Linked DNA regions of Lepisosteus oculatus. Each later gene encodes a partner of the first gene's protein in a complex. Links are inferred from orthologs where the notes say so. Each region holds a gene or a part of one and is shown on either strand. Other genes may lie near its edges.

Region 1 (3,752 bases):
ATAAGTCATAATTCATACGTTCAAGACGTTATAATGTCTTCAGATAAAAAGCAAAGCGCTGATGTAGGCTTTTGATGCAGCGATTGATGTTTTGTTTCCGTCCTTTCGGCTGCTAAACGCTTTGCGGCTCACTTTTTTATTGGTGACTCTCGATTTACCTGCAAACGTTTTAGTGCCATAAATTATAGAGACTTCCACTGCAATTATGCAGTATAACTCAATCTAATTGTTGTTTTAATATGAATGAAATGTGGATTATTATGGTACCATGCATGGTGTTTTAATCTTGTGCAATCATTTGGGCCCCATTAATTTACACCTAACGTATTTTATTTTATATGTGGCTTTCTAGAAACATATGCGCTAGCGGGCTCGTTGGTCTAGGGGTATGATTCTCGCTTTGGGTGCGAGAGGTCCCGGGTTCGAATCCCGGACGAGCCCCATTTTGTTTACTGTGTTTTGAATGGTTTTCCGACCTTAATTAAATGAGTGACTCTCATATTCCAAAAAAGTAGCACCGATAATAATGACGTAAAGCCAATAACGTTAAATAAAGAATAAGTGAAATTAAGTGAAAACACTTCTCAGAATAACAAAATCGCCAGAAATAATATCAGCAACAGGTATTCTAACTAGAACTAGAACTGGAATGACCAAACTGATTTTTTTCATTTTAACTAAGAAACACCGATACGTATATATTTTCATCAATAGAGGGCAGAGCAGCAGAAAATCTCAACCTATAACAATATTCCCTTCGTATTCCAAAAGGGTCTAAATCATTACAGAACACAGCACAAACACCAACACAGTTGTAGGTTTTACTGTGTATTTTATATTTTATATTTGTGGGAAAATAAAAAATATTTTTATGGTTAAAAATGCACAGAAAAAAATACATTTTTGTTCTAGTACATATACTAAATACATCTTCGTTACCTTAAATGTATTGATTTGATTTTAAGCTAAATAGAAGCGATATTTTATAAACAATAAAGCAAACGTGATTTATGTTTTCAATTTTCAAATGTTATGCATGTCTTTAATTACAGAGACTATTAATGGTTAACAAACCACTGCAGTTACTGATACAGATAACAGTAACAAAATTAACTACACCTAAAATAACTAAGAACTTATTTTGGTAACTTTTTGACATAATAGTTAAAGCCTTTTGTTGAAAGCTTCCTGATATAATTCTTCGTGTGTAGGTCCCTTCGAAAATACACAATTCCTGTATCCTCTCTACCAATATGGCGATGCAATCTGCATGTGATAATAAAATATTACTCTTTCTTCCATAAACTCTATGGTTATACCACGTGTCGCCCAGCGGACAAAGCTGATTGGTGAATATCATTTCGGCTCATTTTTATGACGTCAAAGAAGTTGCTCCAATGGGTGAGTAGGACTTCTAATCCCGTTCTCGTTGGGATGTAAACGGAGAGTAAAGGCGCAGTGGGGGTCGAGTGTGAGTGAAAATGGTGAGATCCCTTTTCTGTTCAATTTTGAGAACAGTTTTTAATGCTTTCTGTGTACATTTCTTTTCACTATCAGAAATTAATTTCTGAAAATGGTTTTGACTACCGGCACCGTGACGAGATTAAAATTACTCAAACGTTTCGTCAAAATATCTTTAAAAAATACCAGAATTAATTTCTTTAATCCATTGGCAACCAATTCAAATTTGAAAGAGCATTGTAATAAAGCTAAATCTTGTTTTTTGAACAGCCGTACGGTTTGCATTCACCTCTCTTTGCAGCTGGATGTGCGTCTAATCCGCAGGAAAGCTTTGTTTTAAGTAGATGCTCGTTACGTGTTTCGAAGGGTCTGTGTGTCGCGGATGTTTCTTGGTGATTCCGATTCCGCTTTTTTTTTTAATAACTTGAGCTATTTAAACTATGATCACGTTTTTCGCTCTGTTGAATATTCCAGTTGAACTGTTACTATTACTAGCTTAACTGTTATTAGTAACTTAAAATTTGCGAACTTTTAGCGCCCGTACACGGTAGGTATGATTCATTAAGTAAAGCGCCGGAGAGCCCATCTCTAACGAAAAGTGTAGACGCTGAGGACATGGGTTTGGGATAGGCAAGGCCTAGTTTAGTGCTCTAGGGAAAGATGCTGAGCCGAACAGGTTGCCCCGAAAGGCATCTTAAACGCCCAGCTTCTTGTTATTCAATTTCGAGCTTGATCGGTGCAGTATCTGCAAATCAGACTTATTCCAGACCGTCTCTTGCTTTCCCGTAGTCTTTTTGGTACCTTTACTGAAGGAAATTCTGGAATTGTGTTGTTTACAGCAAGAATCACACGATATTAATGTGCTATCCCAGGCATGTTTCAAAAGTATTACTGATGTTCTTACAGACACAATTCCAAGTCTGCCTTTTTTTGTAGTGACCCCGTGTAGATTCTCATGTGATTTGGCCAGGATTGCTGGCAGGGGGTTTCACAATCCTTTTCTTTCCCTCTGCAGTTATTCTACTCGTTTTTTAAGTCCCTTGTGGGGAAGGACGTCGTGGTGGAGCTGAAAAATGATTTAAGGTGAGGGCCGCACTGGCCAAAAGAAAGAGAATTTCGAAGTTGTGGCAGTCGGTGAATTTGTAAACAAGGTTTTGCCTCAGTTTCCGGAAGTGGAGGAGTTTATTGTTCAGGATGAGAGCCAAGCTGGAACGAAAGCCTGTACATCCACTGGCCTTGCAGGACTGTGATCGGCCTCCTCTGTCATAGTGGGTTTACACTGGCCTGTTATCTCCAATGAATTTAACTAAGATCTCTTAATGTCTAGAATAAAATGACAGAAGATAACAGCACATCATATCCATTTAAAAAAAGAGAAAGCAAGGTCCAGGTACAATATTGTTTGTACCTCCTTATAGGTGTGTCAGAGCAGAAAGTTAAAATACTAAAGGGCAGCATTCATAAAGACCTGAAGGAATGAGGTGGTTATATCAGAAATACAAAAGACGATTCCAATGTCAATGAATGCTTAGAATGTATATTAAGGTTTTTATTAAGACAGCGCTTTCAAATGTGTTAGCAAACCACCAAACACAAAATAGTTCAACAATGGCAGTATGAACTTGATGCAGTACAGCAATTAAATTAGCTTATGTTCCATAATCCATAGCAACATTTTTGTTAAACAGTGTAAGATGAAGTCACAAGGAAAAAACCTTTAAGCATTTTTTTATGGAGCCCAAATTATCTAATTATAATGTTTTTTTTTTGTTATTGTGTGCTCTTCTATAGTATCTGTGGGACACTTCATTCAGTTGACCAGGTAGGTGTTTTGTTTCTCTATTCTATTTTTATGTATATCTTCTCCCTGTTAAATCCACAAATGTAAAAGTGGCAATAGTGAAAATCATTTTTTCATTCCAGGTTGTGAAAGGTTAGCTTTACCGTATTTGTATTTTACAGTGTCATTGCAAAATATTTCTGAGTGATAAAAAGCTATCCTTGTTGGATAGTTTCTTGACAACTCTTGTAAAATGGCTTAGGAGTTTGACAAGCAGCCTTCTCATTCTTGCTATTGCAGATCAGCAGTCGGTAATGGGGCTTTGCATGAAAATTCTCCATAAAAATTAAGCAGTTAAACCCCTGTCATTGAATCAGAGTTTATTTTATTAGTTGGTAATTTTTTCAGCCATGCATTTTGAAGCAAGTGATATTCATATTTATTTTCTCACCATATTTGGAGAACGTCACGTCTTATCCTGCTAATTTATAATTCAGGTGTTAAGTTGCCC
Region 2 (3,752 bases), on another chromosome or scaffold:
GTTGAAATTGACCAAAGTATTTAGTCTCCACAATTCTTTCTTTCACTGTTAAGATTACCGAACCTTTATTTTGGAGCCAGAACTTCCAAGCGCTTCCTGTGCCCCTCGATGAGCTCCGGGGCAGTTTGGCCCCCTCTCCGCAGGCCAGCTGCTCCAGCTCTCCCAGCTCTGAAGGGCTGGAGGGGCTGCAGGCGAGACAGCGATGCCACTGATGTGTTCTCATCAGACGAACGGAGGGGACCGCGGTCAGTTTAATTATCCGTGTGGCCTGGGCTCCCACTCTCAGTAACGAGACAGGGTTCTCCCACAGATCATGCTTATCTCACACGGCAGCCGGTGCCCAGACAAGACATACTGCAGATGTAACACTAATACAATGAATTAGTCAAATCAAAACCAGTTTTACCATTAAAAATAACAAACGAGTCTACACAGAACAATCACTTCATTAGCCTTCAGAAAGCAGAACTGGGTCAGAAAAGCGATAGACAATGCAGATTCAATATTTTCTAAATCTTTCTGATGGCAAATTGAGAAGGTTATTTTAGCCCTACTATCACTCTCGTTCACCGTGTCCTTGCCTGTAGAGATGGAATGTGGGGACTGCCGTTTTCTGTCGGCCATTTCACTTGATTGATTCATGTTTCAGGTTGTGCAGGAGTGAGGACTTCCTTTGTATGAGCCAGCTCAGGAGTGAAGGAGAAGCAGATCAAGTCAAGCTCAACTCCATATCGAGACAGGGTGGCTCCAGGGTCAACATTGCTACCTCACAGCGCACGTTTGTACGTGTGGAGTGCAGTGCAGTGTCGGTCATCCATCTGTACTTTTCATTTTTTTCTGCTCGCTTTTCACACAGTCACACCGCCCTCTTGTGGCGCATGCACGAACTGCGCCTCGAACTACCAGAGAAGAAAATTTTCCGTCTTTCTATTGTTGCAACCTTCGTTTAATTATGGGTTTTAAAAACTTTAAGCCGCGTTGTAATTGCTACTACCATGCGAGGCATCTGTTTCACAAAAAATATTTCCAGTAACCACGCCCGACTGTATGGGTTGACTGGGATGTGAAAAGCTGACCCTGCCAATGAAGGATCCCCCGCTAGCGGGCCGGAGTGTTACTTGCAGGGTGTGAATGGTCGTTGAAATCGAAAAATTCGCAAAAGCTAAGTAAAACAACAGACTGCACTAAAATGCCACTGCCCAGCTGCTTTAACTGCAGATAACGTGGAAACGTCACTGAGAAGCAGTCGCTTAAAAAGAATGCTCTCCCCCGTCATGTGACAAGGACTACGGCTTCGTTTACATCCTTTGGGACGATGGGCTTCGTGACGCCATTTCCGCTTCCGGCCGGACGTTCCCTGTACGTTGTTGGTGTCGCGCCGTGCGAGCCGAAGAGTTCACTCTTCTTCGGGAGCTGTTCGGGTTTATTTTACTGTTGAGTTTTTTTTTTCGATTATAGTAATATTTTTTAAAACGAAACTGCTGATATTTTACTTAAAAAGTCAACGTTTACCCATTTCAAGTGAACCCGCGTGGTGAGTACCGATTGGAAGAGGAACGGACGGTGTTAACGCGCCACATTATCGTCGTACTTTTGTTTATCGGTGTAGTTACTGGGGAATATGGGTTTTAGGAAGTGTTTCAGAACTGTTGATGTTCATCAGCGAAACTTTTATATCCCGGATATAATTAGACATTGTAACCGCAGGACTTGAGACTCCTAGTGCACAGGGTCGTGTATGTACGAGGGCATGGATGTGTCACGTTGACAACTTTCTTGTATAATTAATTGAACAGATAGTATAATAATTGCAAAAATGCTTAGTATGTTTCCTGTAGCATCACAGTTAGCACCATAGCGCACTGCTGGGCGTAAGTCCTGGGGTGGATGGGGCAGCTGGGAGGCGGACTATCAACACTGTAAGATCTGGAGTGGATACACTGAGGGGCGCGCTGGGGCTCTCTGAGCTCATGCTGGCAGTGGAGCCTCTGGTGACCGTGTGAGAGAGCGCTGGACTGAGTGACCGTGTGAGAGAGAGCTGGACTGAGGGACCGTGTGAGAGAGCGCTGGACTGAGGGACCGTGTGAGAGAGCGCTGGACTGAGTGACCAGCTGAGAGAGCACTGGACTGAGTGACCGTGTGAGAGAGAGCTGGACTGAGTGACCGTGTGAGAGAGAGCTGGACTGAGTGACCGTGTGAGAGAGAGCTGGACTGAGTGACCGTGTGAGAGAGAGCTGGACTGAGTGACCGTGTGAGAGAGAGCTGGACTGAGTGACCGTGTGAGAGAGAGCTGGACTGAGTGACCGTGTGAGAGAGAGCTGGACTGAGTGACCAGCTGAGAGAGAACTGGACTGAGGGACCGACTGAGGGACCGACTGAGAGAGCGCTGGACTGAGGGACCGACTGAGAGAGCGCTGGACTGAGGGACCGTGTGAGAGAGCGCTGGACTGAGTGACCAGCTGAGAGAGCGCTGGACTGAGTGACCAGCTGAGAGAGCGCTGGACTGAGTGACCGTGTGAGAGAGAGCTGGACTGAGGGACCGTGTGAGAGAGCGCTGGACTGAGTGACCGTGTGAGAGAGAGCTGGACTGAGTGACCGTGTGAGAGAGAGCTGGACTGAGTGACCGTGTGAGAGAGAGCTGGACTGAGTGACCGTGTGAGAGAGAGCTGGACTGAGTGACCAGCTGAGAGAGAACTGGACTGAGTGACCGTGTGACAGAGAGCTGGACTGAGGGACCGTGTGAGAGAGAGCTGGACTGAGGGACCGTGTGAGAGAGAGCTGGACTGAGTGACCGTGTGAGAGAGAGCTGGACTGAGTGACCGTGTGAGAGAGAGCTGGACTGAGTGACCAGCTGAGAGAGAACTGGACTGAGTGACCGTGTGACAGAGCGCTGGACTGAGTGACCAGCTGAGAGAGAGCTGGACTGAGGGACCGACTGAGAGAGAGCTGGACTGAGGGACCGACTGAGAGAGAGCTGGACTGAGGGACCGACTGAGAGAGAGCTGGACTGAGGGACCGACTGAGGGAGAGCTGGACTGAGGGACTGACTGAGGGAGAGCTGGACAGGGACCGACTGAGGGAGAGCTGGACTGAGGGACCGACTGAGGGAGAGCTGGACTGAGGGACCAGCTGAGGGAGAGCTGGACTGAGGGACCGACTGAGGGAGAGCTGGACTGAGGGACTGACTGAGGGAGAGCTGGACAGGGACTGACTGAGGGAGAGCTGGACTGAGGGACCGACTGAGGGAGAGCTGGACTGAGGGACCGACTGAGGGAGAGCTGGACTGAGGGACCGACTGAGGGAGAGCTGGACTGAGGGACCAGCTGAGGGAGAGCTGGACTGAGGGACCAGCTGAGGGACCAACTGAGAGAGCGCTGGACTGAGGGACTGACTGAGGGACCAACTGAGAGAGCGCTGGACTGAGGGACCGTCTGAGAGAGCGCTGGACTGAGGGACCGTCTGAGGGAGCGCTGGACCGAGGGAGCGCTGGACCGAGGGACTGACTGATGTACACGAGCCGAGTGACCGGGTGCTCTGTGTCCGCAGGGCTGGGATGTCGCTGTCGAAGCGGGAGCTGGAGGAGCTCCGCCCCTGGGTGGAGCGGACGGTCAAGAAGGTGCTGGGCTTCTCCGAGCCCACCGTCGTCACGGCCGCGCTGCACTGCGTCGGCAAGGGGCTGGACAAGCGCAAGACCACAGGTCCGTGTGGCCGGCCGGCCGGCCGCTGCCCGTCGCCCTGAGGCCTGCGGCCGC
Region 3 (3,752 bases), on another chromosome or scaffold:
CCCGCACGGCCGCAGGCGGAACTGGCGCGTCCAGCCTCGCCGCACACCTGGCCGCTGCCGTAGCGGTGTACACGTACTGCGCCACACGCGAACACTCTCCCCGTTTCACATGGTCAGAAGTACCTGGTCGTTTTAATTCGCTCATACCGTGGGCGCACACGCATCGCCTGACATTATAGATAACAAACGTACAGTGATTAAGCACACCACGATTCGTCATTTGGCAGAGGCCTGAGCAGTCTTCGCTAGGTATTAAAACAACGGAAAAAATACTGGAAACAGTCATGAGAAGGAACAAGTAATAGGTTTATTCCATGCTGAAAAAAAGAAGAAAGAGAACACAGCGTTTCGGCCTGGAGCCTTCTTCAGGTGTGGCCGAAACGCTGTGTTCTCTTTCTTCTTTTTTTCAGCATGGAATAAACCTATTACTTGTTCCTTTGCAGCCTACGCATGCTGACGCAGCTACCCACCTGAACTACAGTCATGAGAATACTTATTAATACTGTCAACTTAATCAAACGCCGCGGTCCAATGTTTTGAATTCGTCTAAAAGATTGGATGTTTACACGCCAGTTGGAAAAAGGCTTTGAGGTACACTATTCGGTGAAGTTAATTATTTTGAAGCTCCTCTATAGTTAAATTCCCAGCCTCCCTCACTCTCACTCTCACTCTCACCTCTCACCTGTGATCTGAACCTCACAGTGCCTTCTTCCTTTCTTTCTTACCAAAAATCCAAACACACATTGAAAATCTACCTCTACCATACATGTCAAAAGCTCACTCCCCATCATTTCTATCCCTTTTATTCTGTTGATGCATATTTTTGCACATAACCTGTTACCCTTTTGTTATTTTGCACATTGCCTGTTGTTGTTTTTTGCACATTGCCTGTTGTTGTTTTTTTCTATTTGTACTATTTATTTCCGAGAGCTAGCTAAATAGCATTTCGTTATACCATATACCATGTATATGAGTGTAATGACAACAAACTTGAAAACTTGAGCTGGTTCTCGTGCGAGCAGAAGAACATCACACCGCTCTGTTTTCTAATATACATTAGGTGACGGTCGGGTGTCGATTGTTTCTGTCTGATTTGCACGTTGAAGTTTTCTTCGATTGGTCGAGTCTACCTTCCTTCAAACATGGCGGCGGCTCCGGCTACAAACCCTTCACAATTGCTCCCGCTTGGTATGTGAATTAAACGTGAAGCAAAACATTTTAACGCGAAGTTGTTGAAGTACTAAGACCTGCCTAAGTAGTACCGTCGGTGGTGTACATTTTACAATCTAAAAAATATACCACAAGCGTCTATAGCCTAAGACTGCCAACTGGCCGGTTTTAATAAGGACGTGCAGGTGGTCCGTGAATTAACCCAATCGTTCGTTTTTGTTCTTTTTGAATTATGAATTGAAGTATTGAGTTGCAGTTATGTATCTGTCCCTCATTGCACTGTAATGCTAAGTTTGTCTATACGCAACTTTCCTGTAAATTACTAATTTTTGTTTACGACTTGGCCCATTTCTAAACAGTCCAAACACGGTACTGTCTCAATCTTTGCTGTAGTGTTTAGCCGAATATTTCCCAAAAAGTAAGAAAGAACAAAAAAAAAGTAGAAGCGTTCGTTGACGGTTTATGTTCGCTAATGTGAAATTATACCTAGCTATGTCCATCTAGTCATGTTATTAATTAACCAGATAAGGCAGTAGGGAACAAACGATCATTTCCATGGTGCAATGGATCTGTTTATAAAGCAGGGCATTTACTGTAATAAATGTGTAATATGCCAATGTGTAATATGTGTACACGGCATCAGCGTCTCTAACACTCCAAGTTTCCGCACGAAGTTGTGGATTATTATTTTCTTGTAGATGAAACAATTCCACATCATATTGTATGGTTATTCTTTGCCGTCTCACGCTGTGTGTTACAGCAATAACTTCCTCGATTGTGTCGACTTACATCATTAAAACATTGTATTTATCGTGAGCAGAGGAAAATCCATTTTTTTATATAATTTTCCTATTTTAGAAGAAAAAATGTCATTTATTTTGCTAATGAGGTCGATGATATCCAATGAACTTGTTTTCGGAGCAGTTTATTCTTTGATCATGTTACTTGTTTCGAATATGTTTAACCCCCGTATCCTTGAAGTCTGTTCATGAGCACTGCTGCTGTCTAAAAATGTCCGCTTAATTTATATTTGTGTCTGTGAAGTAATCAGTTCTAGTGATTTCTCCTGTGTCATTCTGATGTTTTTATATAACAAGGGTAACTTACCATTACAGTATCCTAGAAGTGTCAGCAGATGTGGCTAAGTTCTATGAAACAGCTGAAATCTTATCACAGTATTCCTTGTTCTCTCCTCTCCCCTCCCGTTATCTTCTTTAGAGCTTGTGGACAAATGTATTGGTTCCCGGATTCATATTGTGATGAAGAACGACAAGGAGATTGTCGGCACTCTGTTGGGATTTGATGACTTTGTCAGTATCCTTTTTACAGTAATATGGATGTTGTATATCATCACATGTGAAGTTAAGACTAACAGTTTTGATCAATAGTAATAAGTAATGGAGCTAGTTGGTTGTTCAATATGTTGTCTTTTTTCAGCATTGATTTCAAGATTGCACATCCAAGAAAAACCTTTTTACCAGATACAGACACATTTTGTAATTCAAAATGGGTCATAAACTGGTGAATAATAGAATCTTTGCTTTTCTTTGGAATGGCAGATTGTATCATGACAAAAATATACAGTCTGGTGGAGTATTCGCGTATTGTGTTGCCTGAGATAAAATTCCATTAAAGTGAAGCAAGGTCACATCATAAAAATTCAACTTCTTGCAGTAAGATTGTACTTGGCATATGTTTTACGAAAGCTTATGCACAATGCAGTGTCTATAACAGAATTGTTTTACGTTAAAATATAATAAGATGTAAAATACTAAATCTATTGCTGAAAACTAAAAACATAACAATTTATGGTTTTAACTTTGTAAAACATGCTTTCCTTTACTTGCATTCTCAGACATGGTGCTTGAAGATGTCACTGAATTGTAAGGTTTTGTTTTGTTCATGCTAAAATAAGAAATGCTATGATGTTCAGATTGTTACAGGCAAAAATCTTTAATTTTCTCATTGAAAATGAGCACTGAATTAATGCATATTCAAATTGCAATTTGTTTTCTTACATAAGAAAGTCTGTTACTTTATTTACATCTTGACTCGTGCATTTGAAGAGTTAAATTCTGATCATAATGTAATTTTTTTACAGAACTGGAGTACACTATTTTAATAACTTCTAGCTTTATTGCCTTTAGACATTAGCAAAATAAAATATAAAAAAATCATAATCTTAATAAAAATGTCAAAAATCAACAACAATGTTGTATTATTAATTTCAATTAATAATTCATAGTGTCATCTTAACACAATTCACAAATACCTTTCATTACTAAAATCGCTTGTGTTCTCATTTCAGAGAATTTGATTTTTGTGAATTGCTTATGGGTACAAAGTTGTTTATTTGTGTTAGTTTTCTTTTCATTTTAAGGCTGTACTATTAGTGATTATCGATTAGTAGCATCGTTTATTTCAGGAAGCCTTGTTTTTTAGTGAGATCACACCAGAGGGAAGGAGGATAACCAAACTGGATCAGATCTTATTGAATGGAAACAACATCACCATGGTAAGTGTGTTAATAAAGGAAAACCTAATGGTGATACTTTTCTTGTGATTTATACAGTTTAGGCAAT

Evidence for each region.
Region 2: smx5 (region 1) and prpf3 share a complex: the UniProt entries of both Homo sapiens proteins name them as parts of the precatalytic spliceosome. The link is inferred for Lepisosteus oculatus from reciprocal best matches to the Homo sapiens genes LSM2 and PRPF3.
Region 3: smx5 (region 1) and lsm5 share a complex: the UniProt entries of both Homo sapiens proteins name them as parts of the precatalytic spliceosome. The link is inferred for Lepisosteus oculatus from reciprocal best matches to the Homo sapiens genes LSM2 and LSM5.

The regions. Positions count from the first base shown.
Region 1 is NC_090708.1:10,044,400-10,048,151, reverse strand, and holds the start of smx5 (smx5), read left to right. Parts: upstream 1-1,406; 5' UTR 1,407-1,481; coding exon 1,482-1,484; intron 1,485-2,476; coding exon 2,477-2,544; intron 2,545-3,252; coding exon 3,253-3,283; intron 3,284-3,752. UniProt on the Homo sapiens protein: Plays a role in pre-mRNA splicing as component of the U4/U6-U5 tri-snRNP complex that is involved in spliceosome assembly, and as component of the precatalytic spliceosome (spliceosome B complex).
Region 2 is NC_090722.1:7,132,491-7,136,242, reverse strand, and holds the start of prpf3 (U4/U6 small nuclear ribonucleoprotein Prp3), read left to right. Parts: upstream 1-1,333; 5' UTR 1,334-1,534; intron 1,535-3,546; 5' UTR 3,547-3,553; coding exon 3,554-3,698; intron 3,699-3,752. UniProt on the Homo sapiens protein: Plays a role in pre-mRNA splicing as component of the U4/U6-U5 tri-snRNP complex that is involved in spliceosome assembly, and as component of the precatalytic spliceosome (spliceosome B complex).
Region 3 is NC_090701.1:6,001,194-6,004,945, reverse strand, and holds the start of lsm5 (U6 snRNA-associated Sm-like protein LSm5), read left to right. Parts: upstream 1-1,083; 5' UTR 1,084-1,142; coding exon 1,143-1,188; intron 1,189-2,277; coding exon of another isoform or gene 2,278-2,280; exon of another isoform or gene 2,281-2,360; intron 2,361-2,388; coding exon 2,389-2,484; intron 2,485-3,025; coding exon 3,026-3,053; intron 3,054-3,612; coding exon 3,613-3,685; intron 3,686-3,752. UniProt on the Homo sapiens protein: Plays a role in pre-mRNA splicing as component of the U4/U6-U5 tri-snRNP complex that is involved in spliceosome assembly, and as component of the precatalytic spliceosome (spliceosome B complex).